Lonchura striata: one gene and its partner. The protein of the gene in region 1 interacts with the protein of each later gene in a pairwise test. Links are inferred from orthologs where the notes say so. Each region holds a gene or a part of one and is shown on either strand. Other genes may lie near its edges.

Region 1 (15,000 bases):
ATATGGGGACATAGGGACACAGCAGGGGGTTCCTGGGAGGAAACCCGGAGAGGGAGCCCAAGGGGATGTGAGGGGGATTTATGGGGCATGGGGGGGAACAGGTTGACCGGGCCGGGGCGGGACAGGTACTGAGAGGGGGTCCTGGAGAGGGTTTGAGCGAAACCGCAGGGGACCCGGCGGGGGGTGATGAGGACCGAGGGGCGGGGACCGAGGGGGACGGAGGGAGGGACGGCGAGAGGGGGCGCCGGGGGCAGGGCGGTGGCCTGGGAGGGCCGGGGGAGGGGCGCGGGACCCGTGCGGGCGGGAGGGGGGACAGAGGCTGCTAATCCGGGGATTGGGAGCGCCCCCCCGCCGGCCTGGAGTGTGATTGGAGCCGAGACCGGCGGCGGGACGATAAAAAGGGCGGCGGGCGGTGGTGGCCGGGCCAGGCGGCGGCGGCGGCGATGCCGGGCCGGGCGGAGCCGTCGGGGGGACGCGCGGCGGCGGGGCCGGTGGCGGTGCCCGTACCGGTGACACCCGGCGCGGCGGCGCGGCCGGGAGGCGCGGGGCTGCGGGCTAAGGGCTTCGCCATCACCGACCTGCTGGGGCTGGAAGCCGAGCTGCAGCCGCCCCCCGGGCCCCCCCCGGCCGCCACTGCCGGTGGCTACGAGGGCGGCGGGGCGCTGGGGCTGGGGCTGGGGCTGCTGTGCAGCCTGGGGGCCCCGGGCGCCCCGTGCCTGCTGCCCGCCCCGCTGCCGCTCCTGCCCGCCCGCGGCCCCCGCCCGCCTCCCGGGCCACCTCCCGCCGCCCGCCGCCACAAGGAGAACATCTCCGGTGAGCGGGGTCGGGGTCGAGGGTGGCCGCTCAGGCGCGCACGGGGACCCCCGTCCGGAGCCACTGCCGGGGCTGCCTCGCACCTTCGGCCGCGGCCGGCATCCTCCCGGCGGTGCGCGATCGGCTCCCGTGCCGCCCGTCCCGCCGGGATGCCGCTCCTTTGGCCCTCCGGCAAGTGTGGGCTCCCACTCCCTGCCCCGGGATGGCATCACCGGAGCGGCACCGAGGGCTCAGCTGTGGGAGGGGACCCCTCCGTGCCCCGCGCCTGCTCCCCGCGGGCGGCTGGAACCGTGTTTGGGGAGCTGCGCTCGGTTGCCCCGCTCTCGACGGGAACGTGACTCTTCCCCTCCCGCATGCTGCTGCCAGATGAAGACAGCCTGTCCGGGGACGCCAGCGACCTGAAGATGACTACCTCCCAGATCAAGAGGAAGAAACGCCGGCACAGGTAGCGCCCGGGAGCCAGGCTGTCCCCGTTCTCACCTCCTCGCTGCTGCCACCATCCTCTCGCTGTTCCTCCGATCCCCAGGCTGGGGCGGTCAATATCCCCAAGGGGGATAAAGGGAGGAAAAGGAGGAAAGAGGAGGGCTGCAGCTGGGGTAGGGGGAGGATTTTCCGGAGGAAAACCTCAGCGTGGGGGGGGCTGCCAGCCTCGCTGTTTGCCCAAGGGTCCGGACAGTGTGACAGGATGCTCTGTCCTCTCGGCAGGACTGTATTCACAGCTCACCAGCTGGAGGAGCTGGAGAAGGCTTTCAATGAAGCACACTACCCCGACGTCTATGCCCGGGAGATGCTGGCTGTGAAGACGGAACTGCCGGAGGACAGAATACAGGTAGGTGGCTGCAGCGGTCCTCTCTCTTCCGAGGAGTCTGTGGGCCGCCAGCATCTGGCTGTCTCCTCTGCTCTGTGACAGCGGGTGCAGATGGTGGGAATGTGGTGGCACTGAAACACTGCAGGGCGCCTGGGGGGAGGCTCAGCTTCTGCCTGCTAGCATGGAACAGCCTCCAAATGGACATGCAGAACAAGGGGACTGAACTGGCCCCAGCAGTCGCTTATTACTGGCAACTTGGCTCTGTTCTCCCATTCAGGCAGGAGCTGGGAGCAATTTGGAGCTGCTGGGCCAAGCTGTCACACATGAGCTTGCTCACTAGCTTGCCCCTTTGAGGAACACATGGCATTTTAGGGCCTGATCCTGCTCCCCTATGGAACAGCTCAGAGGCTTAAGAATGAGGTGGTGGTCTGGGCAGCAGCCTGCTTATATCTACTCCCTTGAACCTTCAAACAGAGGAGTGGGGTGGGAAGAGGGACCTGAGCACCTTCTGTCATCATTGGTCACTGCATTATGGAGCCCTTTTTCTGGACAGGTTGGTGATTTGTGGATCAGGCAGGGAGGCCCTGTGGGCTGGCGGAGCAGCGTAGGGTGACTTTGGCTGGGATCACCCTCCTGTATCACGATCAGCCTCATGTTAATGTGTGCTCCCTCTCCCCCCCTTCCTCCCCTCTCTGACACCCACGTGTGTGTCCTCCCTCACACCCCTCCCCACACGCCGCCCCGGCTGCCGTCCCGGTGCCACCTGCGTGTCCACACCCTGTGTCTGCACCACCCAACCCCTCCGCTCACCCCACGGCTGACTTTTGGCTCTGGGTGGTCATTCCCCCATTCCCAATGGGCCCTGCACACCCGGTCACGGGGCTGTCTCCTCCCCAACCCCACCCCTCCGTGCTCTCCTGGCTGTTACCCCTGAAGGTTTGGTTTCAGAACCGAAGAGCCAAGTGGCGGAAGCGGGAGAAGTGCTGGGGCCGGAGCAGCGTGATGGCTGAGTACGGCCTCTATGGGGCCATGGTGAGGCATTCCATCCCCCTGCCCGAGTCCATCATCAACTCTGCCAAGAGTGGCCTGGTGGGATCCTGCGCCCCATGGCTGCTGGGTGAGTGGGAACTTGGGGTGCTGCTGGGGGGATCAGGGCTCAGCTTCTTCTTTCATATGGCTGCCCTTGCCTTTTTCCAGAAATGAATGGGGCCTCCCTGGCCCTGAGCTGTATACAGACTGCCAAGTACCCTCGGTTTTCCACTTCCTCCTTGCAAAGTACTGCTAGGAAAAGGAAAACCTTTTACTGCTGTGTCAGACAGGTGCCCGCACCTGGGTGGGTATCACTCTGCAGTGCTAGCAGGCAGCATGGGAGTTGCAAGGCATCTAAGAAGTCACTACCACCCGCCCTTAAACTGAAGATATCTCAGAGCTACCTCAGAGCTACCCTCTGCTCATACAAACTCAAAATCCAGATTGGAATGGGTCATTACAGCACACCTCTCCCTGTAAGCCTTCCCTGCTACAGGGAAGGTACAGACTAATTTTTCCACAAGCCATCTCCCCAGGTGGCAGAGAGCAGGTGGCAGGGCTCTGGGATGGGAAAGGCTAGTAGTTAGAGAGAGCTTTCCTTGGGATGCAGGCAAGAACTGAGGGAAGCAGCAGTAATTCAGGAGGTGATTCTGAGCCGTCCCAAGCAGAAATAAGCAACCTTGGCTTTGCTCTCTCCCCTCTGCAAGGTATGCACAAAAAGTCCATGGAGGTAAGCAGGAAGGCAGAGAGCCAAGAGAAGCTGGCTGATGGCTGGCGAATGGAGCAGGAGGAGGAGGAACTCAAAGGGACACAGGCCAGTTCCCAGAAGGGCTCTGACAAGCTTGGGCCTGCAAAAGACTTGGAGGACACAGCCATCGACCTCTCCAGGACAGCCAAGCATGAGAAGAGGGGTGTGCTGAGGCAGTACATCAACGGGGACACCCCTACAGAGCAGAACGACAGGGACCACTGAGCTTGGGCTGCCCCGGAGGAGGCCAGACCTCACAGCGTCCTGGCGAGACCACAATATTTATTGATATATATTTTTTTCTTAAATAATGGAACTTTTATCTGAATTCAGGGCATTTTAAAACTGGGCACACATATCCCCTCACTTTCAAGCTGTTCACTTTTCATCAGAGCTAGGGTGGAGGGTGGCAGAGGGGCCAAGAGCAGTGCGAGGGTGGGAGCACATTGTGATCAGCACCAATTGCTGCTGGGGAGGAGCCCCCTTCTCCTCCATGCTGGGACCACTTCCCCAGCTATTCAGAAGCACAAAGACAAGCAACACACTGGGAGTTGCTCCCTCCTCCAACACAAGGTGCAAGGATGGTGCAGGAGTTTACAGGAGTTTACAGACGCCTTCTCCAAGCACCTCCACCCCGGCGCACCGCCTGTGTGTGAGTCCTTCCATGCTGAACACACAAATCTTCCACCTCGAGGAGCAGCAGGGTTTTTAAACATGGTATGGTTCATCCTCAAGCTGGTGTAACCTGACAGAGAGGCAGGTTTATACTCCCTGAGGATCTAGCCTGCCAGTGCAGCCTTATCACTGGATTTACACTGTGTATCTTCCTTAACTCGTATTTGGGAGAAGGGGGTAAGGACGTTTTTGTTTATGCAATGATTTTGTACACTCTTGAATGTCACTTGCCACACTATGCATGATAGAACAGACCTTCTTGAAAAGCAAGCCATAGTACCCTGGAGCAATTAAACAATTTTGTGAAGTGACATAAGATCTTTTGTAATTGTCTGTAAAAAGTGTTAATGTCAGAGCTGTTTCTTGGTCACCCTATATTTATGTCTAAAAGCACTTTAGTAATCTGGATTTTTGAATGTGGCTCTTCCTGTATTGTCCACCATTTATTTATTACACATCCATAAATAAAATTGTGTTGTATCTTTGGTTTTCATGCTCTGTATTGCAATTTATACCTTTCTTTGACACATCTCATGGCAGTTGCTGAACCAGCCCATGCACATGCCTTGACAGCTCGCCTGGAATATCTCCAGTTTCATCTACCAACCAAAACATAACGGAAAATTATCAAAGGGTTTTATTAAAATATTAGTAATTCTAGTTTGGAAAGTGTCTTATTGCAGCTCAGGGGGTGTGTGGCCAGGTACTGATGCTGTCACCTGGTCCTGCCTCTGCTGCTTGGCCTGGCTGCTCTCACGGATGCAGTCACAGACTGTGCTGGATAGGGGGAGAGTGTGGGGACAGTTCCTGGGAAGAGCAGAGCAGTAAGTGGCACGTGCAGATTTCCTGCTTTTCCCCTCCTTTGCTTGGCCAGACCCCACCAGGCGGCTTGGGGGAGGGGTAACATATGCATCGCAAATACAAGCTTTGCTGGGGGAAAAAAAAGTTTGCTGGGGGGGCTATGGAGAGCACGGTTCAGGAAAGGACCAGCCAGGGCTTATTGCAGCAGCAATTAGGCTCACTGAGAGCCGAGACTTAGCACATTGGAGGCCTAATCCTGCCTGAGCAGCATCTGCAAACCTTTTATTTGGGCTGTGCCACGCTGGCACTGGATGCTTGCAATCCTTTTTTTTTTCCCCCTTTGCTCTGCCTGCGTGCAGATGGCCTGGCTCTTTGCCTTGTGCTGGCTGCGGTGCTGTGAGAGCAAGCACGTCACCACCACGAGTGCTACAAGGGGAGACACTGTAGTTCCAGCATGCACAGGGTGCAGACCACTCAAGCTCCTGGTAGTGCCTGGTGGGCTCCCAGCTCTCACCACATGCTGGGAAGGAGGAGCCAAGAGGAGGGCTACTGGCCCGAGGCACTTCCCACGTGCTGGGCTGTGGGGTACAGATGCTGGTGGATGGCAGTGACTGCCCAGACTCAGCTCCTGGTGACAGGGTCTGGTGCCCTCCTCGGAGCAGGGAGTCACTGTTTGCTGCCTGAACTAACCCTGGCAGGGAAGTGCCCACTGTCCTCCAATGTCACTGCTGGGAGCAGCAATAGGAGTAGGGCAGAACATTCTTGTTGTTGCTTTAGGTTTGATCCATCCTGAGATCAGTGGCAGCCAGACCCAGCCATGGCTCGGCCAGTGGTGGTTCAGGCTTGGGCCAGTGACAAGAGTGTGACCCTGACATAAGGTAATGCTGCCACTTGCACACATCTCCACTGCTGCCCATGTGAGACCCCACAGCCGTCCTGGTGACCGCATGAGGGCCTGGTGCCATGAGCTTGCCTTTATAAGGAGCCTCAGGCATCCCTCAGCCACAAGTGCTGGGCTTGCTCAAGCAGAAGATCCCTTCCCAGTGGCCCAGGCAAGAAAAGACAGTAAATTCAAAGCCAGTGTTCTGCACATGCAGATCTCTTCACTGACTGGAAGCTGACTGCCAGGCACCCGCGGGGTGCAAGGCAGTGATGGGAGTGTCCCACTCCCTTTGCTTGATTTCCCTTATTTTAAAACAGAGATAAAACGGTAGTCAAATTTTTCTTATGTCCCAGTGATGGGCCCAGAGCAGAGAAGGCTGCAGGGCTGCATTTGCAGAAGCATCTTCATGGTGCCATTTCTGCATAACATAAACAATATTAATATCTGTGCCTCTTTGTTTTGGCCAATCCTCCCAAGCTGTAGGTTGGATTTTCAGACTGGGAGCTCAGAGGCAGCGAGTCCGAACGCTTTGTAAGCACTCCCTCGTGTGGAGCTGCGCGATGGGACACGGCGAACAGCCCAGGAAAGGAAGAGGCTGGCTGGAGCCCAGAGGCGGCTGGAAGCCTCACTCCTTCCCCTCATTCCCACAGACCCCTGCAGGGGCGCGTCTGGACGTCTCCTGTGGATGCAGAATTAAAGAATCCTGCGAGGTTTGTGTTTCATTACCCTCGTCTTGCATCCTCAACAGGCACTGGGTACAACGAGCAGCCTCTGGCAGAGGGCACAGGCGCTGATCAGAGCCTCTGACTTTCTCCAGACTGCTTCAGGTGCGGGCCAACCCTGTCCTGGGTGCATCAGGCACAGCATCGCCTGCTGGATGAGAAAGGGGACTGTCCCCTCTGCTCTGCACTGGGGCAACCTCACCTCGAGTGCTGGGGGCAGTTTTGGGCACTGCAATGTAAAACAGACATTAAAATGATTAGAGAGTTTCCAAAGGAGGGCTACAAAGATGGTGAAGGGTCTGGAGGGGAAGCCATGTGAGGAGCAGCTGAGGCAACTTGGGTCTGTTCAGCCTGGGCAAGAGAGGCCCCATAGCGGTCTGCAGCTTCCTCACGATTAAATCAGTGGGGGAGACACTGATCTGATCTTTTGTCTGTGGTGACCAGTGACAGGACCCCAGAGAATGGTTCTAAAGCTGTATCAAGGGAGCTTTAGGTTGGATATTAGGAAAACTTTCTTCACTCAAGAGGGTGGTGGGGCACTGGAACAGGCTCCCCGGGGAAGCGGCCACAGCACCAAGCCCGACAGAGTTCAACGAGTGTTTGACAATACTCTGGGGCTGTCCTGTGCAGGGACTGAAGTTGGGCTTTGATGATTCTATGTGTCCCTTCCAACTTAGACTATGCTATGATTTCGTAGGTTAATTCAGCACTAACACCAATACAAGTCCGTTCTTTTAAACCAGGTGCAGGTGTTCAGCCCGCAAAATCGCAGGCTGCCACTGGCGAGGGCTCCGGTTCTGCTCCGAGTGCCCTTTCCCTGCGATTCCACACTGTGCGGCCGTGAGGCTCGCGTGGGGCACGGAACAGCAAAAGCACCGCCCGCATTTTGGCCACATTTCCCCTCTGTCCCACTTTCCGCAGGCTCTGGCTGCAGACTGCTGGAGCCGGGGAGGACGGGGCCGGCATCGCCGGGTGTCGCTGCGGCCGGCACGGCCCGGAACGAGCGCCGGAGCGCAATCTCCGCAGCACGGTCCGGGGCCGCTCTGCGCCGCCGCTCTGCGGCCTCGGCGGGGCGGGGCGGCCGCCGCGCTCCGCCCCGGGCCGCCCCCGCTGCCTGTGCGGGCGGCGCGATGGCGGTGGCCGTGCTGCGGCCGCTGGACGCGCCGCCGGCCGAGCTGTCGCCGGCCACGGCGCTGCTGCTGGCGCCGGCGGGGCTGTGCGCGGCGCTGCGCGGGCGGGGCGGCGCGCTGGTGCTGGCGGTGCGGCCGGCGGGGCGCGGCGGGGCGCAGCCGGTGCTGCTGAGCGCGGTGGCGCTGGAGGCGGGCGGGCGGCGCGGCGCGGAGCTGTGGCTGCGCGGGGCGCTGCTGCGGCGGCTGGGGCTGGCGGCCGGCCGGAGGGTGACCGTGTGGCCCGTGCGGCGCCCGCCGGCGCTCGCCTGGGTGCTGCTGGGGGCGGCGGGGCGGGCGGGGAGGCTGGCGGGAGGCGCGGTGCTGGCGCGGCGGGGCGAGGCGCTGCCGGGGCCGGGCCCCGGGCCGGGCCCGCTGGTGCTGGAGGCGCGCCCGGCGCTCCAGGGGTTGCTGGGCACCGGGACGCGCACCGCCCTCGCGCCGCCGCCCGCCCCGCCGGGCTCCGCCCGCGGCCGCCCGCCGCCCGCCGCCGCGCCGCCCCTCGTCTCCCGCTTCGCCGCCGCCGCCGCCGGGCCGCGGCTGCGGGCGGTGCCCGGCGGGGCGGGCGGCGGCGGGGCGGAGGTGTGGGTGAGCCGGCGCGGGCTGCTGGCGCTGGGGCTGTTCCAGGGCGAGTGGGTGCGGGTGGGCGCGGAGGGGGCGGCCCGCGAGCACCTGGCGGCGCTGCTGGCGCGGCCGCCGCCCTGGGAGTACCCGCGGGCCGCCCGGCGCGGCCTGGCCGACGGCACCGCGCTGCTGGCCCCGGCCCTGGCCTTCAACCTGGGCTGCGACCCCGCCGCCCCCGCGCAGCTCCGCCTGCAGGTGAGCCGGGGCCGGGCAGCCCGGGGAGCGGGCCCGCGGCGGCCGCGGCTCACGGTGCGCCCCGGCCCCTCCGCAGAGGTACGAAAGGACCGGCGCCGCGGATGGGAAGGGCAGCCGGTCCGTGCTGTCTGTGCCCCCGTTCGCCAAGGAGCTGCAGCTGGAGATCGTCTGCTCGCCGGCCTACAGCACCCGGGGAAGCTACGACTGCGTGCTCTACAGGCACTTCGAGACGCCGCGGTGAGCTCTGCGGGGCGGACTGTGACATGCACAGTGTGCGTGTGCCACACACCGGGGATGTGCACGTCGACGCCCCTGGGGCAGGTGCTGTGTAGTTTTAGAATATCCCCTCGCATTGTCTTATGACGAGTATGCTCAGCTTGGACACAACACTTCTTGTCCTGTCCTTCAGAAGTCATCTTCAAGTTTCCTGCCTCATAATTCACCATGCAGTGGTGAGGGCTTGCAAGTGCAGCCCACAAACCTCCCCTGTGGGCCGTGTTTATGATCTCAGTTTTCAGCTGAGTAGTCTGGAAACTGGATGTGTTGTCACCTTCTCTTTTGATGCCTGCGCTGAGTATCTTTCATATGGCTTCTAAGGTTATCTGTTGGAATGATCCCCAGCTATTCCAGAGATAAGGTGGAGATTTTGTCTGAATGAGACACTATAAAGACACTAATTTTCTTTGCCATTCCCACAAGCCTTCCCCTAGCAGTCTGGGTATGCCTGCTTCCATCCAGTGTGTGCTAAATCTTTCAGTGGCTATTGAAAGTTTTATTTACAGACAAGGAATGAGTCAGTATGAATAGTTAAATTATTTTCTGTAAAAACACTTGCGACGGAGGGCAGGGAGGGCACACAACCAGAAGGATTTACTCTCTTTCACTGGTGAAACTCTCTGGGTTTTTTGTAGGCTGGTCCAGGAGGGAGACATCCTGTGTGTTCCAACATTTGGAAATGCTGAGTTTATAGAACTAAATGCAGACAAGTTCCTAAGGTAGGTCAACGAACTGTGACTCTATTACTTGGTACCAGAAGAGCAGAGATACTTTTCCACGATTGACTCTCTTGAAATCAGACAGTTTATTCCATTCTGACATGTCCCTGGATTTTAGTGTTTTATCTGTCAATATACTGGGAAGAAGGATATGTTTTTGTTGGATTGTGGAGGGCTGAAGCTAAGAGGGAGGCCTCTGTTAGCTCATTCGAATAGTCAGGAAGGGAAGAAAGGAAAACAAGAGGTAGAGCCACTGATAGGAATAAAGAGTGAAGAGGAAGGAGTGGCCTGAGGGCAGTCAGAGCCACATAAAGAAAGCAGAGTGGGAGCTGGGCTCCTCAGTTTGTGACAAACAACAAAATATAAGCCCTAGGAGCTCATGTTAGAAAACCTTTCTGTTTGGCCACCAGTTCTGCCTTTCTTGGTTTTGCTCATGTGGCTTTAGAACAGTTGTGCTAAATGGGAGAATGTCCCCTTTGTATCAGGATGCTCCCAGTGGCATTCCCAACATTCACATTGGATGATCCTTGTGCATATTGCAAGAGGACAAGAGTTTCTCTGCTTACCTGTGCTTATCAGCTATCTTCTTGTTGACATTTGTATTGTTCCTTCCTTCAAGATCTTGGCTAAGCAGTTTAGAGTGCTTGTTTTTTTCCCCTTAGGTGGCCAGAGCTTTATTTCAAGGTGAAGAAGGTCATAGGCATGGTGGAAGACGAGCAGTCCGAGGGTTACCTGGTGGACACCCAGAATACGTCTGTCTATCTGGTGAGATGTTAGTAGAGAGCAGAGAGAGGAAATCTGAGGCTGAGCTTGCACTGTGGATGACAAATGTACCTGTGGAGGCTTGTGCCTCCTGCCATTGGAAAATGACATTTCAGGACAGATTTTGCCACTTGGCACCTGTCTTTACTTGGGTGCTTTTGCATTCTTGCAGGTGGGTTCAACAAATAGCACTGTGCCATCTGCCCCAGCCTATAACAGCAATGAGTTCTGGAGCAGTTTGTCTCCTGCGGGACTTTCTGATGTCGTGAAACAGCTCTGCGATGCTCTTCGGCCTCACCTGAACCGTCGGTGAGTGAGAATTCCATGGAGTGAGCCCTGGCAGACGGGGGGGACCATGGCCACAGGGAAACCTGACAGGGGTCTGTTACAGGGCCAGTGCACTGAGCGGCGTGGGCAGCGTTCTCCTCTCGGGGCCGAGCGGCAGCGGGAAGCTGCTGGCTGTCAGAGCTGTGTGTAGCTGCCTCAACCTCCACCTCTTCAAGGTAATTCTTCCTGTGGCCGGTGGATTGGTGGATTTACAGAGAATTATGGAAATGTTTTTTTAAGTCGGCCCTGCCAAAAGCCCTGCTGCAGCCATGACACGAATCTATCCAGGAGCTGCTTCCATGTGCAGATGCAGACAAGTGAGGCGCAAATGATGCTGAGATCTTCTTTAGCTGAGAGGGAAAAGAAAAGCAGCTCTTGGTTTCACGTACCAGACCCGGCTCAAAATCTTTTGGCATGTAAAACAGCTGCTGTGTAACTGTGTTCACATTCACCACATCCCCCTGCCAAGAACAGTGAAGTGGCAGGTGAAATTCACTGGAGTTGGTTTTATGTGGAATATGATATAGTTCCAGCTGACTGACAGTATTAAGGATTTCGTTTTATGGCAATGGCCCCATGGAAACTTGTGCTCTGCTCTTCATATGTGTAAAAAATCAGATCACATTTTATGAACAAACTCAGGAGTGGATGCTGTTGCTGTGCAAATCCATGTCTTGACAGAGATTGAACATCATGCACAGTTCTGGTCTCCCCATCACAAAAACATAAAACTGAACTGGAAACATTTGGAGAAGGACACTGGGTAAGATCAGGGGTCTAGGCCAGTTTCTTTGTGGGGAGAAGCTGAATAAATTCTTCAGCTTGAAAAATAAAGAATTTAGAGATAGTTTGATACAAGTTTTTACGAGATCTTTTTGAAAGAGATTTTTCACAAGAGCTTGAGAGGTCAGCAGAGCATGGAAGGTGTTTCCTTTTCTCTGTGTCAGCACAAGGCCTATGACTGTCAGATGAAGCCAGTCGTAGCAAGCAAGCTAAAGGAGATGTTTCTCTGTGTAGGTCAGAGTATTTGGATGAGAAATCTACTGTTACAAAACCACTTCTGACTGGGAAAAGCCATTTTGATGGGAATGGTATGTGCCTGGATGGCCAAAATGAGGTCTAGCACCTGCCTCTGTCCAACACAAAAGGTTCTGGAACCAACAGTCTTCAGTGATTTGTTAAAATTTCTATTTTCCTGCAGCATACCTTTTTTGTTCACTCTGACAATCTGGGATTATCTCCCAAATGCTTTCATTTCTTTGAATCTGTAGAGATACATTTGCAAAAATGAGAGGAAGTCACGTAGTGACTTTTCTAGGAGGCTTTTTGAAATTCTGGAAGGATGTGGAAGAAGAAGAAAAACGGAAAGAATAGGGCTGGAAGATTCCTCTTTTTGTGGAGGGAAATTGTGGGCTTGCTCCTTCTTTTGGTGGATATTTTTAGAGTATACTCTCTTTCTGTTATTTTCTCTCCAAGTAAAGCTGTAACACTGCAGTGGAGCAGCTAGATAGTGCCTTGGCCCGCTGCTGTGCAGCTCATCTGGACATGATCCTTTGTGGTGCAGAGCTCTGACTTTTCGGAAGATGTGCCAGTGCTCTTGGGATCCAATGCAGGATTGCAGGGATTTCACAGGACCTTCAGATCCATGTTTAGGATGTGCTTGGGAGCACTCTGTCACTGCCATGTCCTGTCAGGTGGCCTCAGGTTCTAGTGGGGTGTGTGTGCAAGGCTACAGCTCTGGTTTCAGGGTTGTGTGCTGCTTTTAAAGACTAACACAGTTACTGTTAAAGACAGAAACATTTTCTGAGCATCTTACTCTCCTACGCCAGCTTTTACAATCTCCCCTCCCTTTCTCACTGATTGCAGTGCTTACACTGCCATTCCCCTGCTCTTCCCTTTCTCTGACTGTTGTGTCTAACAGCCCACCAAGACACAGTAATTCTTCCTCACTCTAATGTCCACCACTTGATGATAAACAATTTTTTGTCCTTTCTCTCTGCCTTTCAGTTCTTGCATACAGACACTGCTGCCATTAGGCCTGTCACAGCCCTAACTCCTGGGTTTTTTCTATAGTACATGGAGCACAGGAGTTCCTCTGCTCTGTGTCCCTCTCCTTACCCTTTAGGGAGTTGTTGACCCTGCTTCAGGCTGCCTTTTGTGAAGATGAAACTCAGGGAATCCTGGAGATGGTTTGGGTCTCCCTGGACAACCTCGCAGCACCAGGAGGCAGCACTGCCTGTTCCCAGGCTGCTGTTCAAGGCTCACCAGTCACCTCTTCCCTTGGATGACTTCATCAAGTGTTTGCTTTGTAAACAGTGTCTGGGCCTCTGGCCATCTATAACTTCCCCCCAAACACCCGTCACCCTTGCCTTCCTCCTGCATACTGGTTGAGCAGTTTCCTGGGCCTCCTTCTCTACTAATTGCACTATTCTGCAAGGTGCTTTGTTCTCCCTGTCTTCCACAGCTCTCACCTCCCTTCTGCCTTAGGTTGCTGAGCTGTGATATCCACTGTATCGATTTCTGTGGTCCCTTTGCCTCACTTTTTTCAGATAAGACCCTCCTGTCTACCTCACCTCTTGTAGAGAAGGAAGAAACAGCCATTTGTCCATGCTAAGGCATCCAGAATGTGCCTATTTTGAATATGACCTGAATGTGTCTCTGGAAAATACCGAGTTTGATCTCCTCTGAGCCCTGAATTGTCTGTGGAAAGCTTTGTGGAATGTTGTCCTAGGCCCCCCAGCCGTGCATGTTGCAATTGCCTTGTGTGGTGTGTCTGGCAGGTCGATTGCGTCAGTTTGTGCAGTGACACCAGTGCAGCCACAGAGGAGAAAGTACAGGTGGCCTTCAACCAGGCCCAGCAGTACCAGCCCTGTGTGCTGCTGCTGAAAGACATCGAGGTGCTTGGCAGAGACCGAGATGGGCTCGGGGAGGACGCCAGGGTCATTGCTACTCTGAGGCAACTGCTCCTGGACACAGACCCAGCACTGAGGTATGGACCTTGCACGTTTGCTATGGGCATCCCAGGTAATTGCTTCTGCCGAGGGAGAGTGAGTTGGCATATGTGATGATAATGTAAGAGGATATTTCCACAGAGCTGAGACCATGCACTGTCTCGTTTCTCCCCACAGCTACCCTGTCCTGGTGATTGGCACAACCTGCAAGCCCCAGAATGTTCCCACAGATGTGCAGACTGCTTTCCTTCATGAGGTGAAGATTGAAGCCCCTTCAGAGGAGCAGAGGAGGTTGATGCTGAGCATGCTGACTGCCAGCCTGCCTCTGGGCAAAGAAGTGAGCCTGTCCAAGCTGGCCCGCAGGACTGCTGTGAGTAAAACCACAGCAGCATGTGGGGATGGGCCGGCTGGGAGTGCTGGGCCAATCTCCTCTAGCTGGCCTTGGAGAAAGGGGTAATGCCCACAGCCCAGACAACTTCTTCAGTGGTTAAAGACATCAGCTTTTTAGTGCAGATTTCTAGTGCCTACAGACTCCACCTTTTGCAGAGGTGTTGGCTGATGTTCAGCTCTGCTACAAAAGAAATAAATGAAGCTAGAGCCTTTAAGCAAGGAGCAGCTCTGCAAGGAATTTTCCCCCATACTTTTAATGGCCTAGGTGTAGCTGTGGTGAAGGACTGAACTGATGCTCTTTGTTTCCACATTCACAGGGATTTGTGCTGGGAGACTTCTGTGCCTTGTTGTCCCACAGCAGCCGGGCTGCTTGCACCCGCATCCAGGCCTTGAGGTAGCACAGGCAGCAGGCCAGGGAGTGGGGAGGGCAGGGGCTGCAGTCAGTAGTGGGGCAGAGCCCGACTCCTTTCCCTTTCTTTCCTCACCAGTTTTCCAGGCGGACTGAGTGAAGAAGTGGAGAGGGATTTTTGCACTGCAGGGTTCCCGGTGCTTGAGGAGGATTTTAGTGCTGCACTGGACCAGCTGCATGACGCTCACTCACAGGCAGTGGGAGCCCCAAAGGTGAGATGTTGGGGCATAAGGGGGGCGGTTCTGCAGAGCTCTTGGCTCAAGATGCCCGTCACAGATCTTGCAGGGCTGTGTTCTAACATACTGCTTCCTGCTCTGTCCTTCCATGTATTCCCTCAGCTTTCAGTGGGAAACAGTCCTCTGGACTTCCTCCCATCAATTTTTACCCTCTTGGCTTGGAATTTTCCAGGAAAGCTCTTGCAGTGCTAATTGCAGATGACTTAATTGGCTGGTGCTGGAGGGGTGCCAGCTGTGCAGCTCAGCCTCTTGGGGGCAAAGGCTGCCTCCCTGAGATCTCCCCAGCCACCTGGCCTGAGGGAACAGAGAGGCTGTGGCACAGGCTGCTGAGGGAGTTTCTCCACATGTGTGATAAGTCTTAGACTTGATCTCTGGCCTTGGATGCTGCTTGAGCTGGCATGGACTTTTTTGACAGACAGGCAATTTGAACAACTTGGGGTTTCTTCTGGGAAAGTGATACAGAGAG
Region 2 (14,606 bases), on another chromosome or scaffold:
TGCATTGAGGTATAGTTTAACACACAAAGCAAGAGTTGTGCACACAAGCAAAGCAAACCAAGGAGTGGATTCACACTTCCCATGGGCAGGCAGGTACTCAGCTACAACCAGGACTACAGGGCTCCATCACTGCCTTGGGCAGACAAACATCATCACCCTGAATGTGACATGATTCCTCCTTCTTCCCACAACTCAATATGCTGGAGTTTGAAATACATCAACAGACAAATGAAGGACAGTTAAATGCTTTTTATCCTCTACTGGATGTACCTCACTCCCTCCCTAAAGCCTGGTACCTAAATGACTCACCAATAGTGTCAGAATTATGGATTATTTTAGAACATTATTATGCCATTTTACAAAACAGTGAACTCTTAGTAAGCTCTTAGGTGATCACACAAAATCCTCTTTTGCTTTTCATTTGCGATGTGTAAGTCTTTGCATTTCCCACACATTTTAATACCTTCCTCAGTAAGTGAATGAAGATTTAAACACTTTCCTTGTGTTCCTTGTATAATTGTTTTCTGTTAGTCTGTTGCCACCTGCTGGGAGAACCAGCAGCATCTCATTTCAGAATTTCTGAACTTCCCAAACCTAGTAATGAAGTACCTACATTGATAAAAATACTGGTTTTCAGGCATTATCCCTGAAACAGAGAACTGTGCTATGTATTTTTACTTTTTATTAGTATAATTTTCTCCCCTAATACATTAAGGTCAGAACTGTAGTTATAAATAATATATAGTATTATATATAATATATAATGTAGTTGTAAATAATATAAAGATACATTTATCTAATAATGATGAATACCAGATACTTTATTCTTGGTAGTATTGGTCTTGCCCATGCCAAAATGCAGACTTACACTTTACCAACATCATCAGTGGATTAAATCTCATCAGATTCACACTGAAGACATTCTCGACTTAATTCAAATAGGCTGAAACTATGAAACAATGTGAAACAATTCTTGAAAACTATGATATACTTTTTAGTGTATCAATACAACAAATACTTCTTTTTTTCATATACTCAAATCACAGCACAAACAAGCAACTCTACAGAGGTAAATCAGTAGTCACTTTATTATAAAAATTAGATACTGCAGTTTCAGTATTAATTGCAAAAAAACCCTGATAGCTTATTTCTGCCTTCTTGCTTTCTCATGATGAATTAAAAACAATATAAATTCTAAATCAGTAGTACTCCAATAAAGTCAAGGTTACCAACCTACACTTAAAGTTGAATGTTAAAAGTCCTAGTAAAGGACACTTAACAGCATCCTAAAATGTATGGCCTGCTGAAACCATTGGTCCAAACCAACCTCCAAAACAGCATCTCTGCCATCCAACTAAAAATGATGCCAGAAGATTACAGCTAAAATTGTTCATTACCTAACAGTCACTTTGATGAGAATTTGGCCTGACTTCAAGAGTGAAGTTTGCCATTTCATTAACTGGCTTACAAAGGATTTAACCAGAGGCCTTGCAAAGCAGGGGGGCAGAGGACTGATCCTGGTCATTTCTTGGAAGAGCTCATCTCCAGACAGAGCTTCTGTGTTTCATTCTATCTGATTTCACATCAAGTGTTGGTTTCAGTAATAAACTGAAATATCAATACCAAAGCAGTATCAAAGGCTGCTCTTCCCTGTGTGTGCAGAGTATATGAGAAATTACTTTTTTATATGGAAATATGTGCTACTTAACCTGGTGTAAAGTCCTGGCAGACAAAAACTTTGGGGAGGCATGCATATGGGATTGGTTTGGGTTTTAAAATCTCTTGAGACAACTAGGGAAGGTCATTATTACACTCACAAATAACCTGAGTTTGTCTGACAATAATGCTTGGGTGTAGCTCTTTTTGGGATAATTTAAGATGAAACGGACAACTGTTTTTAGTAGTGAAGATGAGACTGTTTGCTAAGTGCCCCAGTAGGGAGCAAAGCAACAGATCCCACCAAAAAGGCTGCTCTGACAACATTTTGTAGTTTGGGCTGATATCCGTGAGTTTGCACCATTTTGGCACAGGTGCTGGGATGACAGAGGTCAATTTGTCCCAGGTTTCTCGCCTTTAACTTGTCCCCTCCAGCACACAACAGTTTAAAAGCAGTATTTTTTTAGATCAGTGCTCCCTCCTTGGAATTTACCTTTTGTCAGCTGATGATAGATGGATGAATGGATGGAGGAGAAATTAATGTTCCACCCCAAACCTCCAATTTCTGCCCCAAGTGGTCAGAAATGAAGCTGTCTGCTGACAGACCTGCAGGTGCACAATTTTCTTACCAATGATCTCGGGAAGGTCGTGTGATGTCAGAGAAGTATCTCTTTCTATAAAAAATAAATTTTTGTTCTGAATGACAGAGCATTGCTAAATGACTCCCATCTAACCCAGAACTTCGGATACTGAGGCTTGGGGAGCAATTCTAGATATACAGAGAGACTTTTTGACATCTACATAAACAAAGCAAGAGGTAGGGAAAGAGCAAAACAAAGCCACAACTTCAGCTGTTCAATTATACAATAACATAGAATAGAATTTAAAAAAATAAACTTATTTCCTTACCACCACCACCAAGTGCTTCTAGGAATGACTATGCATCAGACAAGCACTGAGTGCTGTAATTTGCATTTAAGAAGAGTAGATACAACACAACAGTCTTTTTGGCCCAACTCCTCATCTTTCTGGCTTAAATATGACTAAAATCCAGTGTGCCTGTTCAAAGAGGCATCAGTCACAAGAGAAAAAACATGGCTTTCAAAATGCAATAGGCTTTAATTTCTCCAGTGTTTTTCTTTAATGTGCTTGTCCTAAATCCCATGCTGCAGGAACTGGGCTTTCCAGATGTCTTCAGGGAAAACAGAATATTCCCCTAATCACTGGTCCTCCAGGAATTGCACTTGTTCAGAGAACACTTGCTCAGCGTTTGCAAGGATAAGAACTTCTTCCAGAGTTCATAACTGGCTACACAACCCTCACTCAAGAGACACACATCCAAAGCAAAGTGTTTGAAAAGGAGAATTCTTATTCAGTTGTAGGTATGGACAGAGTGGCTGTACCCTAGTGTTGGACAGGACCAAGCAAAATGTCAGGAACACTTGCTGTGGCTTCGAAATTCATATACCACCATTCCCTGTCTGAAGAAATTCCAGGAGTCCACATCTCAGATTTGAAGAGCCCCTGAAGAGCCTGGTAACATGCCCAAGCCAAGGTGACACTTTTAGTGGAGGAAGACACTTAGTCTCGAATTGGAGGCCTATGGATTGGAGGAAGCACAGCTGCCCAAGCCTGTCGGAAGAGCTGGACCAGTTTGTAAATGAATGGCAGTGATGTGGGAGAAGCTGCAAAGCAGAACAAAAAGGTAAAACCAACTTAGCAAAATTAACTAGGTAAAACTAGTATACACTAAACATATTAAGAAAGAACTACCCCCAACTAGAATTAATAAAAACCTAGTTCTCTTCCTTCCTTCAATGAGGAAAGGCTGAGTCTAGGACAGCTCTGCCTGCCTCTCACAGTCTGTACCTTGGCTGCTGGAAAGTTTGCAGAAAACTGGCATTTGTGGAGCTTCACCTTTCTACATCACTTCAGCTGGAAACATTAAACACATTAAGTTCCTAGTCACTCAGATTTTTTGTCTCCCTGAGACATTTACACAGACCAGATTTATTAAAAGCAACTCACTTCTTCTCCATAACCATAATGGAATTCTAAAAATTGGAAAACTTAATCCTGTACCTGGGTCTAATCTCACCACCACCAGGTACAGCAAAAAAGTAGCCAAGAGCATCTTCTTGTAAGGAAGTAAATAGAAGTGGTTTGACATGGACCTCAGTGCTCTACGTAGTAATGTCAACATGGTCAGGAGCTTTTGGGACAGCACCCCTGGAAAACAAGAACAGAAGGGCTGTTAGGGCAAAGTAAAGTTTAAAAAGTAATCATACAGATATAGCCAATAAGAAACTACGATACTGGAAGTCTGATTGCATGAGAGTTGGGTTGGGCTTGGTTTGGTTTGGTTTTTTATACAACAGAGAAAGAGTACAATTTTGTAATACACTTCATTATACTTCTTTTTTAGGCATCTACTCTACTACAATTTGATCTTATACCACAGTAGTGCCAGCTTCTGTCCTGGGAGAAAACAGCAAATGATTTACAGCTCTGGAGAAGAAGCAGTACTTTAAATGTTAGACAGGCATTGTTCTCCTTGGACTCAACTGTAAATGGAAATGAAGCAAACTGTACATGGAGCCAACAGAACATATCCTTAAAGTATTGCCAGGTAGCCTTTTTTACTTAAAAAAAAACCCGCAAAACCTCCACAGTGCTTTCAATCCTGGGCATTAGTTGTCATCTTCTGATGTTAGCAGAGACTACATATGCTTTGCAATTCTCAGCAAAGGTGTCATTAAGTCTTTTATTTCCTGCTGTGATACACAATTAATTTCCTCATGGCCCGTTTATCATGGCAGTATTCTTAATATGAAGCTAATACTTGCTACCCTTTGCCAGTAAGGGGCTGACTTGAAATGAAACTGTAAAAAAGGAGCACAAACAACAGAGGGAAAGCCCACCTAGAAGAGTTTCTGTGGCTGGGTCTTGCTGCTCCTCAGCAGCCGAGCGTGTCTCTTCCTGCTGAGTCCAGCGGCAGCGGCTCTCGCCGATGGTGCCAAGGAATTCCAGCTGCTGCTCGCTGTCGAACACGGCACAGCCCCGCACCAGCTCCTCCGCGCCCTCGAAGCGCCCCAGGGGCAGCAGCACCTGCGCCAGGTACAGCTCCAGCAGCGACCCGAACTCGGGGAGCCTCTGGTTGCCGTGGGCTCTCAGCCAGCTGCTGCCGACCTCCAGCATCACCTGCGGCTCTCCCACTTTGCTGTAGAGCAGGAGACTGAGATGCAAGGGAGAAGCATGAGAAAACCCTGAGTCTTTCTGGAAGCTGACATCACTGACAGCTACTATCCATGAGCAGCTCTCATGAGGTATCAGTCAGGGTCAAGATCAAAGCACAGAGAGAATTCTGAGGCAGAAAACAGGTGTGGCTATTGATGTTACTCTCTCAGCATCACTCCTTTTAGACTTGGTCACCATGAAGCAATCTTGCAGGCACGCTCCAGCACACAGAGAAAAGGCCTGTCCCAGATCTCATTCACACCACACAAAGTGAAAATATTATGTGTAGTAGATACAATTTGTGCCATTTCTAGTATGATATATGTGATATTGAATATTTGTTGGAGTATACACGTTTGTATTAGGAGTTCCCCCCACCCTCACAGGTGAGACCTGGTGTATATTAGAACCCGATTTACATGTAAAAGGACAAGGACATGGCTCGACCAGGAGATGGGCCATGTCTGGAGAGATATGGGGACCCCAGGCGCTGCTCATCTCGTGACCTGAGATGGATATCATGGAAATCCTCGGGCAGATACATGTGAATGCAGTGTTCCCAGAAACTTCATCAAGGGATTCAACAACTCCCGGACACTGAATTGTTCTTCTTCATCACCAAATAAGAAAATCTTATTAACCTATAGACTCTGAATAGAAGAAAAGACTGACTGCCGAAATCTTGGCCTCAGGTGGAATTTTCCCTATAAAAGCTGCTTGTGCCAGGATGGAAATGTGTGGGCATAGAGGAAAATCTCTGCTGAGGCCGACTTCTTGTTGCACACCCAGGGCTGACCCTGGGCTCAGCACTGTTCTTTCCTTGTGGCTGGCTAGATAGAATTTGATTGCAAAATAAATATTTTACTTTTCATTTTAATTTGGCTGGACAATTTTTGTTTATAACAAAAATATCACATAGTACCCAAGCCTGGCCTGCAATTAAACTTAACATGAGCCCCGTGTGAATATCCGACAGCAACAGACAGAAACTCACCACAACTCCAGAACTTTTGGAGGCAGATGTTCAGGGACATGGTAGTACTGTAGGACCCAAGACAGAACTTCTCTCCACCGGTTCATCTCGGCCAGCGCCTGAATCCCCACAACACAAAGGGAGCATTTCACTTCTGCAAAACTGGTAAGGAACAGACACGCTAAATAAGCGCTTCTTACAACCATATTTCCCCTTGCATCCCTTGAAGTGGGCTTCAGTGCAGCCCAGGTACCACACTTCTCTGTTTCCCCTCTTCCCCCTCTACTTGCCCCCTACAAAAAGGCCAATTCGACCTCCGAGGATATGCACTGTGACTCTGAGAAAACGAAGGGAAGGCTCCTGGGCACGCCGCACTTCCCTCAAAAAACGCACAGACGAAACACATTCATATCGACAGGGCTAAAAGAAACCCCAAAGCAGTGCGGGCGCGGCCTGAAGGTGGAAGCCAGCCCGGCGCTGAAGCGGCACCGAGCAGCTTCCCAGAGCCACCCGACGGAGCCGCCGGGCCCGCACCTCTCCTGGCCGGGAACGGGGCCGGGAACGGGCCCCAGGCTGTCGCAGCCCGCCTCGCAGCGCTGCAGGGCGGCGGCGAAGTCGCGGTGCAGCACCAGCAGGTCCGCCGCCTCCTCCAGCAGCGCGGCCGCCGGCCCCGGGGCCCAGGCGGGCGGCTCGCCCCGCATGGCGCCGGCCGCGGGGCTCCGCCCGGCCCCGCACGCCCCCGCCTCGGCCGCCGGCCCCCGCCGCGGCCCGGCTCCGCTCCGCTCGGGCAGGCACCGGGAAGCCGGGATGGAGCCGCCCGGCAGCGGAAGGGCCGCCCCGGGAGCATCCCCGGCCCGCGGGCCGCCGGGACCTGTAGTCACTGCCGCAGGAGGTCGGCGGCTGCCGGGCCGGGCGGGGCAACGGGCATGGCTCGGGGGCTGGAGCATCTCCTACCAGGAAAGGCTGAGGGAGCTGGGTCTGTTCAGCCCTGGGAAGAGACGACCGAGAGGGGACCTCTTTAATGTGCATAATTACCCAAAGGGAGGTGCTAAGAGGATAAAGGCAGGCTCTGCCCAGTGGTACCAAGCAATAGGACAAGAGGCAACGGGCAGAAATTAATGCGCAGGAAGTTCCGCCTGGACAGGGGGAAGAAGAACTTCTTTACTGTGCGGTGACCATGCACTGAAATAGATTGCCCAGAGAAGGTGTGGAGTCTTCCTTTATGGAGATACTGCAAAATCGCCTGGATGCATTGCCGTGCCGTGTGCTCTGCGATGACCCTGACTGAGCAGGGAGGTGGGACGGGATGACCCACGGTGATCTCTTCCAGCCTGAGCCCTGCTGTGACTCTCCGGAGATTAGCGGTGGAAAGCGGGCTCTCTGCGGGCGCTCCGGGAGTGGCTCTGGGACCGACATCGGTGCCCGTCCTTGCCAAAACGCGCTCCCTTCATCTTCTCCCTCGTGTGGCTGCCGAGGGAAAGGGGCCGAGGGCACAGCCCGCCTCGGCTGTTCTCCCCGCGGCCGCCGGGCGTCAGCCCAGCCCCGAGAGTGTCCCAGCCCCGAGGGTGTCCCAGCCCCAGGAGTGTCCCAGCCCCAGGAGTGTCGCAGCCCCCAGAGTATTGCAGCCCCAAGAATGTCCCAGCCCCGAGGGTGTCCCAGCCCCAGGAGTGTCCCAGCCCAAGAGTGTCCCAGCCCCAGGAGTATCGCAGCCCCAAGAATGTCCAAGCTCCGAGGGTGTTTCAGCCCCGAGAGTGTCGCAGCCCCAAGAATGTCCAAGCCCCGAGGGTGTTTCAGCCCCGAGAGTGTCGCAGCCCCAAGAATGTCCAAGCTCCGAGGGTGTTTCAGCCCCGAGAGTGTCGCAGCCCCAAGAATGTCCAAGCTCCGAGGGTGTTTCAGCCCCGAGAGTGTCGCAGCCCCAAGAATGTCCAAGCCCCGAGGGTATTTCAGCCCCGAGAGTGTCGCAGCCCCAAGAATGTCCAAGCCCCGAGGGTATTTCAGCCCCGAGAGTGTCGCAGCCCCAAGAATGGCCAAGCCCCGAGGGTGTTTCAGCCCCGAGAGTGTCGCAGCCCCAAGAATGTCCAAGCCCCAAGAGTGTCCCAGCCCCGAGAGTGTCGCAGCCCCAAGAATGTCCAAGCCCCGAGGGTATTTCAGCCCCGAGAGTGTCGAAGCCCCAAGAATGTCCAAGCCCTGAGGGTGTCGCAGCCCCAATAGTGTCCCAGCTCCGAGAGTGTCCCAGCCCCAATAGTGTCCCAGCCCCGAGGGTGTCCCAGCCCCAAGAATGTCCAAGCCCTGAGGGTATCGCAGCCCCAATAGTGTCCCAGCTCCGAGGGTGTCCCAGCCCCAATAGTGTCCCAGCCCCGAGGGTGTCGCAGCCCCGAGAGTGTCGCAGCCCCCAGAGTGTCCCAGCCCCGAGGGTGCCCCAGCCCCGAGGGTGCCCCAGCCCCAAGAATGTCCAAGCCCCCGAGAGTGTCGCAGCCCCGAGAGTGTCGCAGCCCCCAGAGTTCCCCAGCCCCAGAGTTCCCCAGCCCCAGAGTGCCCCAGCCCCGAGGGTGTCGCAGCCCCGAGGGAGTCCCAGCTCTCCTCGGCCCGGCAGAAGGCGCTCGGCACGGTCTAACGGGAGAGCGCTCCCGGCCCTCCGCTCCGCGCCGCCCGGGCGGCTGAAGGATGCTCTCCGCTCCCGGCCGCCTCTCCTCACGCACCTCGTGCCCGCAGTTTACTCTGTTAATGGAGTTCGGCCGTAATAACGTCCCCGGCAGCACCCGGCAGGCAGCGATTCCCACTCTCTCCTTTTGTTGTTATTTAAAAACAACAGGGTGTCTTGGTTACAAGGTAATTACCGCAGTCAGTGCAAACGCTCTTCAAAAATGGATCCCTACAGGAGAGACAGGATTGATTTATCCTGTAACCTTTTTAAACAGCTGACACATCTATCTGTCCCCCTACTATGATTATTTAATTAAAAATCAAATGGGTTACATACAAAACATGCAAAACACGCATCTTTCAAAGGGGATTTTCTATGCCATTTCAGTGTGGCGAATACGATTAAAAACTTGATCAGAGCTCTCTTTTTCTAGATAGCTTTTTGCAGGAGGCAGGACCATGTACCTGCCCCTCTCGGCTGCAGCAGGAGCACTCTGCAGTAGCAGCTTTACACAGTAGTGAATCCAAGGGGTTGGCACACTGCTCTTAACTGTGGAAGAGGTTCCTGAAGGATTTGGGCTGGCTAAGGTGAAACCACTGCACAGACAAATGTGAAAGGAAGAGCCGAGCAGCAAGCAAAAGCAGAGGTAAAGGCGTTTCAGCCTTCTGTTTCTGTTGCTCGGTGCTTGCAATTTGGAAAACAACATTCCTTTTTGGGAACTACAAGTCCCAAAGTGCACTGTGGGAAGAACGTGCCTCGTACCAGCTAGTGCCCAGCACAAATTCCCAAATATGGATAAGGAATCAAGTTTGAAAAAGACTCACACTGGCTGGATGCTCCTCACTGAGACTCAGAAAAGGAGTGAGACAGCACAAAACCAAGGTACGTTTGTTTTATGCAAAGATGCTGTTGAAGGATTTCTTTCATGGGGAGCAGCCAGTAGTGTTGTATCCCTTAGAAGGGCAGCCCAGCATCGCTCTGGTGATGTTTGCAGCAGGTGTTGCGGTCACGGAGGCAGCTTTTGGAACGGGGCTGTTGTTTCGGGTGGGGGAGCGAGCAGCAGGAGCAGCTGTGCTGCCGAGTCAGATCCTGTTTCCCTGCAGATGCACCTGATTAATAAATACCTATGGAAAGGCAGTGAGCTGCAACATTGATGCAGTTATGTTAGGGGCTGGGAAGGGTCAGGGAGAGGTAGGAGTTGCTCTGAACGGCAGCTCTGCATGAGCTGCAGTGTGTGATTGTGTGAGAAGCCAAAGTGGACAAGCAGCCCTGTAATACCAATGATTATAGGTTAAATGAATTTCTCTGCAAGGCACGGTAGAATGTTTTTGTACTTCACCCCTCTTCCTAGAGGGGACAGTGTGGTGCCTTAAAGGCCAAACCTCTTGCAGCTCTCTGACCTGCAAATAACACTCGGTAACCGGATTGTTTAACTTCAGGCCAGGAACAATTACCTATTTTACTGACAATTTGTTAACGAGCAAAATGAAATCATTCTGAAATATAATCATCTTCGTGGAGATGAGACATGCTGGAGCTCCACTGTTGGGCACACGTGAAGCCCGGGTGGCTGACCTGGACCCAAGCAGCAGCAGCTCCTGCCTCTGTTTCTCTGGCTGGCATCAGGCAGACTCCTGGTGCAGCTCAGATGCTCTGTGTGGACAATCTGCTGCTGGCTGACGTCAAGTGCAGCTGGTCAGCTGCACCAGGCATCCCAGCACCCTCCTCCTGCTATGTAGGGTCATGGAGCAGCACAGCGGGCACGGCAAATGTAGGAGGCGCAGACCAGCCCCGGAGGAGAGCCCGAGACTGCTTGGGCTGCTGAACCCAATTGTCACATGGATACTTGTTGCCAAATAAGAACCACGCTGATTTTCCATCTTTCCTTGAATGGGAGCAGCTTAAATTGTCTTAAAGCTGAAAGGGTCGCTCTTGTACTTGAATACAGATACACAACAGGGCAATCTATCCTACTACACAAGCACAGGAGGGAAGCAGGATGTTTGCCTGTGCTCTTGGATAGCAATTTCTAGCGACCAGAAAAGCTAAACGAACTTGCTGTCAGTGACAAGTTAGTTTGAGTGAGTACCACAGTGGGTTTTGTGTCCTGGGTGTAATGTCCATGCCCAGCTCGTTGCCTTTTTTATGAAGTCAAGGAGTTTTTTTTTCCCACAGTGATCCTGATTTTGTATAGGAGAAGAAAAATTATTTTCAGCAGGGCCTTGTTTGTGTGTGCATCATCTGTGGATTTACTGGTTCCCCTCCTCCCTCTCCTGCCAGGCAGTTCGAGGAGAGTTTAGAGTTACAGGCACCTGTGACAAGGCCTCCTGAGGTAAATCGCCTCAACTATAAATCCAGATCTGACCAGCACACGGTCACAGGGCCAGAGGGCTGGCAATCAGTCTTTTTCTGTTGTCTCTTCTGTGTCAGTAGGCTGTTAATAGGAGATTAGCAGCATTAGGGAGACTTTGAGCTAGAAATGGTGAGGCCCTATGATTTGATTTGAAGAGAAAGAAACCCTCCTACACTCCTATAAAAACAAGCAGAAGAATTGGAAATTGCAAATGGCATTATAAACACAACTGAGGAAACCATAGTCTCTAGGAAAGATGTGGAGCTCTGTAGTACCTCACAGCTTATCAGCAATACTTTAACAAAGCAATGAGGTCCACAGACACCTCAGGTCCCAGTGTGCAGCACCCTGTTCTTATCACCACGTGCTTTTGTTTGACTCTGGCAAGACCATGACGTGTTGGAATCTGTAATTCGCTTGTAATTTCCATCAGCAGTAAATCCCTATTAAATATGAAGCTGGCTGGCTGCAGATCCCCTCAATTAGCCCAGATTCAGGGCTTCCCTCTGCAGGTCTGCAGAGCCCGGGGCTGGGGGAAGGTGAACGCTCTCTGGCTGTGCTTTGAACAGATGGCCCATGGTGCTTTCTTATCTCACCAAGCATTGTGGCACAGCATCAAACCTGGCTTTTGTTTCAAAAATAGAACTGTTTAGTGGAGACTTGCCTGAGTTTGGGCCCACCTGCTGATTTTCCTAGTCAGTGCATTTAAATGCACTCATGTCTGATTTTGGCTATATCCAAACCTATGTAAACAACAGGTGAGGGTAGTACAAGGCAGAAAAGACAACTACAGGGCAGCCACAGCCACAGTCCAGTTGGGGGGTATCACATAAAACAGAAGAGCCAATCTCTGTCTCAGCCTTCATCACAGATGAACAAACACTGTGTGAGGTGTAAACACTGGAAATTAGGAAACTGGGAACATAGGGATGTGTTCACAACTTGTCAAAACTTGAGTTTTACTCAGATAATAACAGAACCTTTCTGAAACAAAGGGCAATTTTAAGTTAAGTTCCTTTCTTTGCTTCATAATCAAACAAAATACTCGCCTTGGCAAGGCAGCTGTCAAAGATTAGGAGCAGTTACTTTGATTTAATTGTTACTATTATAATAGTCATAATTAGTGCTAGGTGGGGCATTTCATAGCTGTAAGGTGACCAATTTGGCTAGAGGCCTAAGGCATCTTCTTTTCTTCAGCTAGTTATTATCTGTGAGAAAATACTGAAGCCTGTCATCAGTGTGGGTCACTTACACCCTGTTTGCCTAGCACAGCGTCTCTTTGCTCATCGCTTTAGAGTCACAGCCCCTCTAACAGTTAATACCACTTCTCAAGGCCCAGCTTGCCAAAATCAACTCTCATCCATTAGTCTCCACCTTTCCTCTTTTTTCAAAAGCGAGCCTTGTGCTCTCATGATGGGGAGAGAGGCTTGACAGTGCGAATCACCTGGAACTATTTGTACCACAAGGCAAACAAGGCAATTTGAGAAAAAGGTCCTTCTTGTTTTTAACCTAACTTCCTGACACGTCAGTATTTCTTTTCAGTGTCTGTCAGTCATCTGACTCTCATTCTGAATGCACATTTACTGTGATCTACGTTAATTATCTCTACAAGCAGGCAATGCATCTCCTGCATCTTGAATTGGAAATTTCAGAATATACTACAGAAGCTAACAAACTCTTTACCATCTCAGTCTGCTGGTCCTGGCTCTTGCCTGGCCAGGTCTCTTGGTGCTTCCAAAAGCTGTGATGTGAGGTTGCTTTAGGAAAGCTAGCAATGCTGCATTGCATGGTAGCAGTACCTGAGCCTCAGGAGAAATCCCCAGGGAAGGGGCTGATGCTGGTGCAACCTTTGTGTCTTGTGTTTCACAGAGAGCACCCCCTGTGTGCCCCTCTGGCTGTGGTGGGCAGAACTGCCCTGCTTGCTGTTTGTGCTTGTGAACTTGATACAGTAATTAACTGGTAATTGCTTTTTTATGAACAGCATGTGAGGTTTTTATTTAACCTAGTCAATGAATGTGCAGCACCTTTCTTCTGGGAGGATTTCTCCTGTCCTCTGGAAGATCTGTGTGCTATTTCAGGGTCTCACCTGTTTGAGAGGTGTGCTTATACTGTGTGTAGGATTAATGTCTCAAGCAGTGTATTGGCCCTGTTTCCCTGATGAACTGATGTTCTCTTGCCCTCTGTACCTCCCCTACTTGCTGCTCCTTCTCGTCTTTCTTGGCAATGCCAGGTGCAGACAAAGGTAGGATTAGATGTCTAATTAGTTTATGTAGCCTTGAACATACCTGGTTACTTCTTCACACTGGGGGAAGGGTAGCCTGTGAGTAATCCAGCCCTTGTCTCTCAGTGAGGTTTTCAGCTTTGGGAGCAGCCTAAGCCCAGGCAGACTCAAAAGGCAAGCCAAAATTTTCTAGACGCATTTTTGTTCCAGATGCCTGTTCAAGGAGGAAGTTGAAAACCCAGTCTGTATTACCAAATCCAAAATAATTTCTCATTTAATGTTAGATCCAAAAAATTTATTTCCAAAAAATGACTCAGTGTAGACAGCCTGAAAGAACTGCCTTGAAACGTGGCAGAAAAGCTACTAAACTATAATTAATATATTTTGGAACTACACCCTAGATGGAACAAGTTGTATTTACAATATTTTTAGCTTATCAAAGTGAAATTTAGGCTGTAGCTCTCCTATCTCCCACTGCCACCATCCTTCAGCAGATGTAGCCAGGGGAACAGAGAGGATAATGTTATTGTCTTTCCTACCTGATAAAAGGCTTATTTGATTTGTAATTTCAGTTGTATTTAGACAGTGTTACAATATATCTGAATAAAAAGAAATGGATGAAGGTAAAGCAAAGGATCAAGAGTACACTGCAGCTGTGTACACCAGCAAAATAAAATCCCTCAAGACCAAAGTAATGGAAATAGGACTCATGTATGAACTCTGACCAGACCTTCGAGGATGGAAAATGAGGTGGATTCTACCAGGGATTGGGAACTTAATTTTTGCTCTCAGGGATAGAGAGCAGCTGCCCTTACATTTCTCATGGAGTGTCTTTGTGAGTGAGAGAGCTGCATGCTGGTGTGTCAGCCTGGCACTCCGAATACAACCAAGTAATGAGGATAGAGGTCACTGTAAACACAGCAAGGTTAAGCAAAATAAGGCCATGAGGAGGTCATGGTGAATTTGAAAGGGAGAGTGGATGGACAGATGTGACTGATGATAGCTCTGATGATTGGAAACAAAACCTTAAATAACTCAAATTTGTATTCAGGAACACTTGTCCATGTCAGGACTCTACATCAGTCTTTCTGTGTCAAATCAAGTGGCAGTTCACAGCAGTTCACATTCCCAATGCACTTTGAGCTGCTGGAACAATATGTCTATTCTGAGCTCCCCTTGCAAGGCTGTCTCATTCCAAAAGGTGTACTCACCAGGAGAAATTCAATACTAGAAAGTTAGTAGAATAATTTTAGGGGATAGATTCACTGCATCCTAAATCCCCAAAGGAGCTGACTTTAAATAGTCTTAGCAGGGAAGTATGCCCTGTAAATCATTACCAAAAGTTAGGCTGAAAGCATTAAAACACTTTATATAATAAACATGTAGTTTCTGCCTCGATCTTCCAAGCCACTGTGGTTTATTCTCCTAAGCTTGCCACGATCAAAGCAGGTTCTCTGGTGTTGCTGTTCATGTGGCAGTCAAAGATTCAGACTGGTCAGAAATAGGACAATCATGGGACTAA

Evidence for each region.
Region 2: the proteins of PEX6 (region 1) and PEX26 come close enough for resonance energy transfer, tested with the Homo sapiens proteins (2 studies listed by BioGRID). The link is inferred for Lonchura striata from reciprocal best matches to the Homo sapiens genes PEX6 and PEX26.

Annotation. Positions count from the first base shown.
Region 1 is NC_134605.1:18,916,798-18,931,797, forward strand, and holds the start of PEX6 (peroxisome biogenesis factor 6), read left to right. Parts: upstream 1-7,609; coding exon 7,610-8,464; intron 8,465-8,540; coding exon 8,541-8,701; intron 8,702-9,375; coding exon 9,376-9,459; intron 9,460-10,121; coding exon 10,122-10,224; intron 10,225-10,393; coding exon 10,394-10,530; intron 10,531-10,612; coding exon 10,613-10,724; intron 10,725-13,328; coding exon 13,329-13,537; intron 13,538-13,676; coding exon 13,677-13,869; intron 13,870-14,206; coding exon 14,207-14,283; intron 14,284-14,377; coding exon 14,378-14,510; intron 14,511-15,000. Other genes in the region: VSX1 (visual system homeobox 1), read left to right, coding at 444-813, 1,180-1,258, 1,519-1,642, 2,558-2,738, 3,358-3,623. UniProt on the Homo sapiens protein: Component of the PEX1-PEX6 AAA ATPase complex, a protein dislocase complex that mediates the ATP-dependent extraction of the PEX5 receptor from peroxisomal membranes, an essential step for PEX5 recycling.
Region 2 is NC_134607.1:13,650,351-13,664,956, reverse strand, and holds PEX26 (peroxisome assembly protein 26), read right to left. Parts: upstream 6,568-14,606; coding exon 6,401-6,567; intron 6,029-6,400; coding exon 5,888-6,028; intron 4,892-5,887; coding exon 4,578-4,891; intron 3,886-4,577; coding exon 3,739-3,885; intron 3,342-3,738; coding exon 3,238-3,341; 3' UTR 661-3,237; downstream 1-660. UniProt on the Homo sapiens protein: Peroxisomal docking factor that anchors PEX1 and PEX6 to peroxisome membranes. PEX26 is therefore required for the formation of the PEX1-PEX6 AAA ATPase complex, a complex that mediates the extraction of the PEX5 receptor from peroxisomal membrane.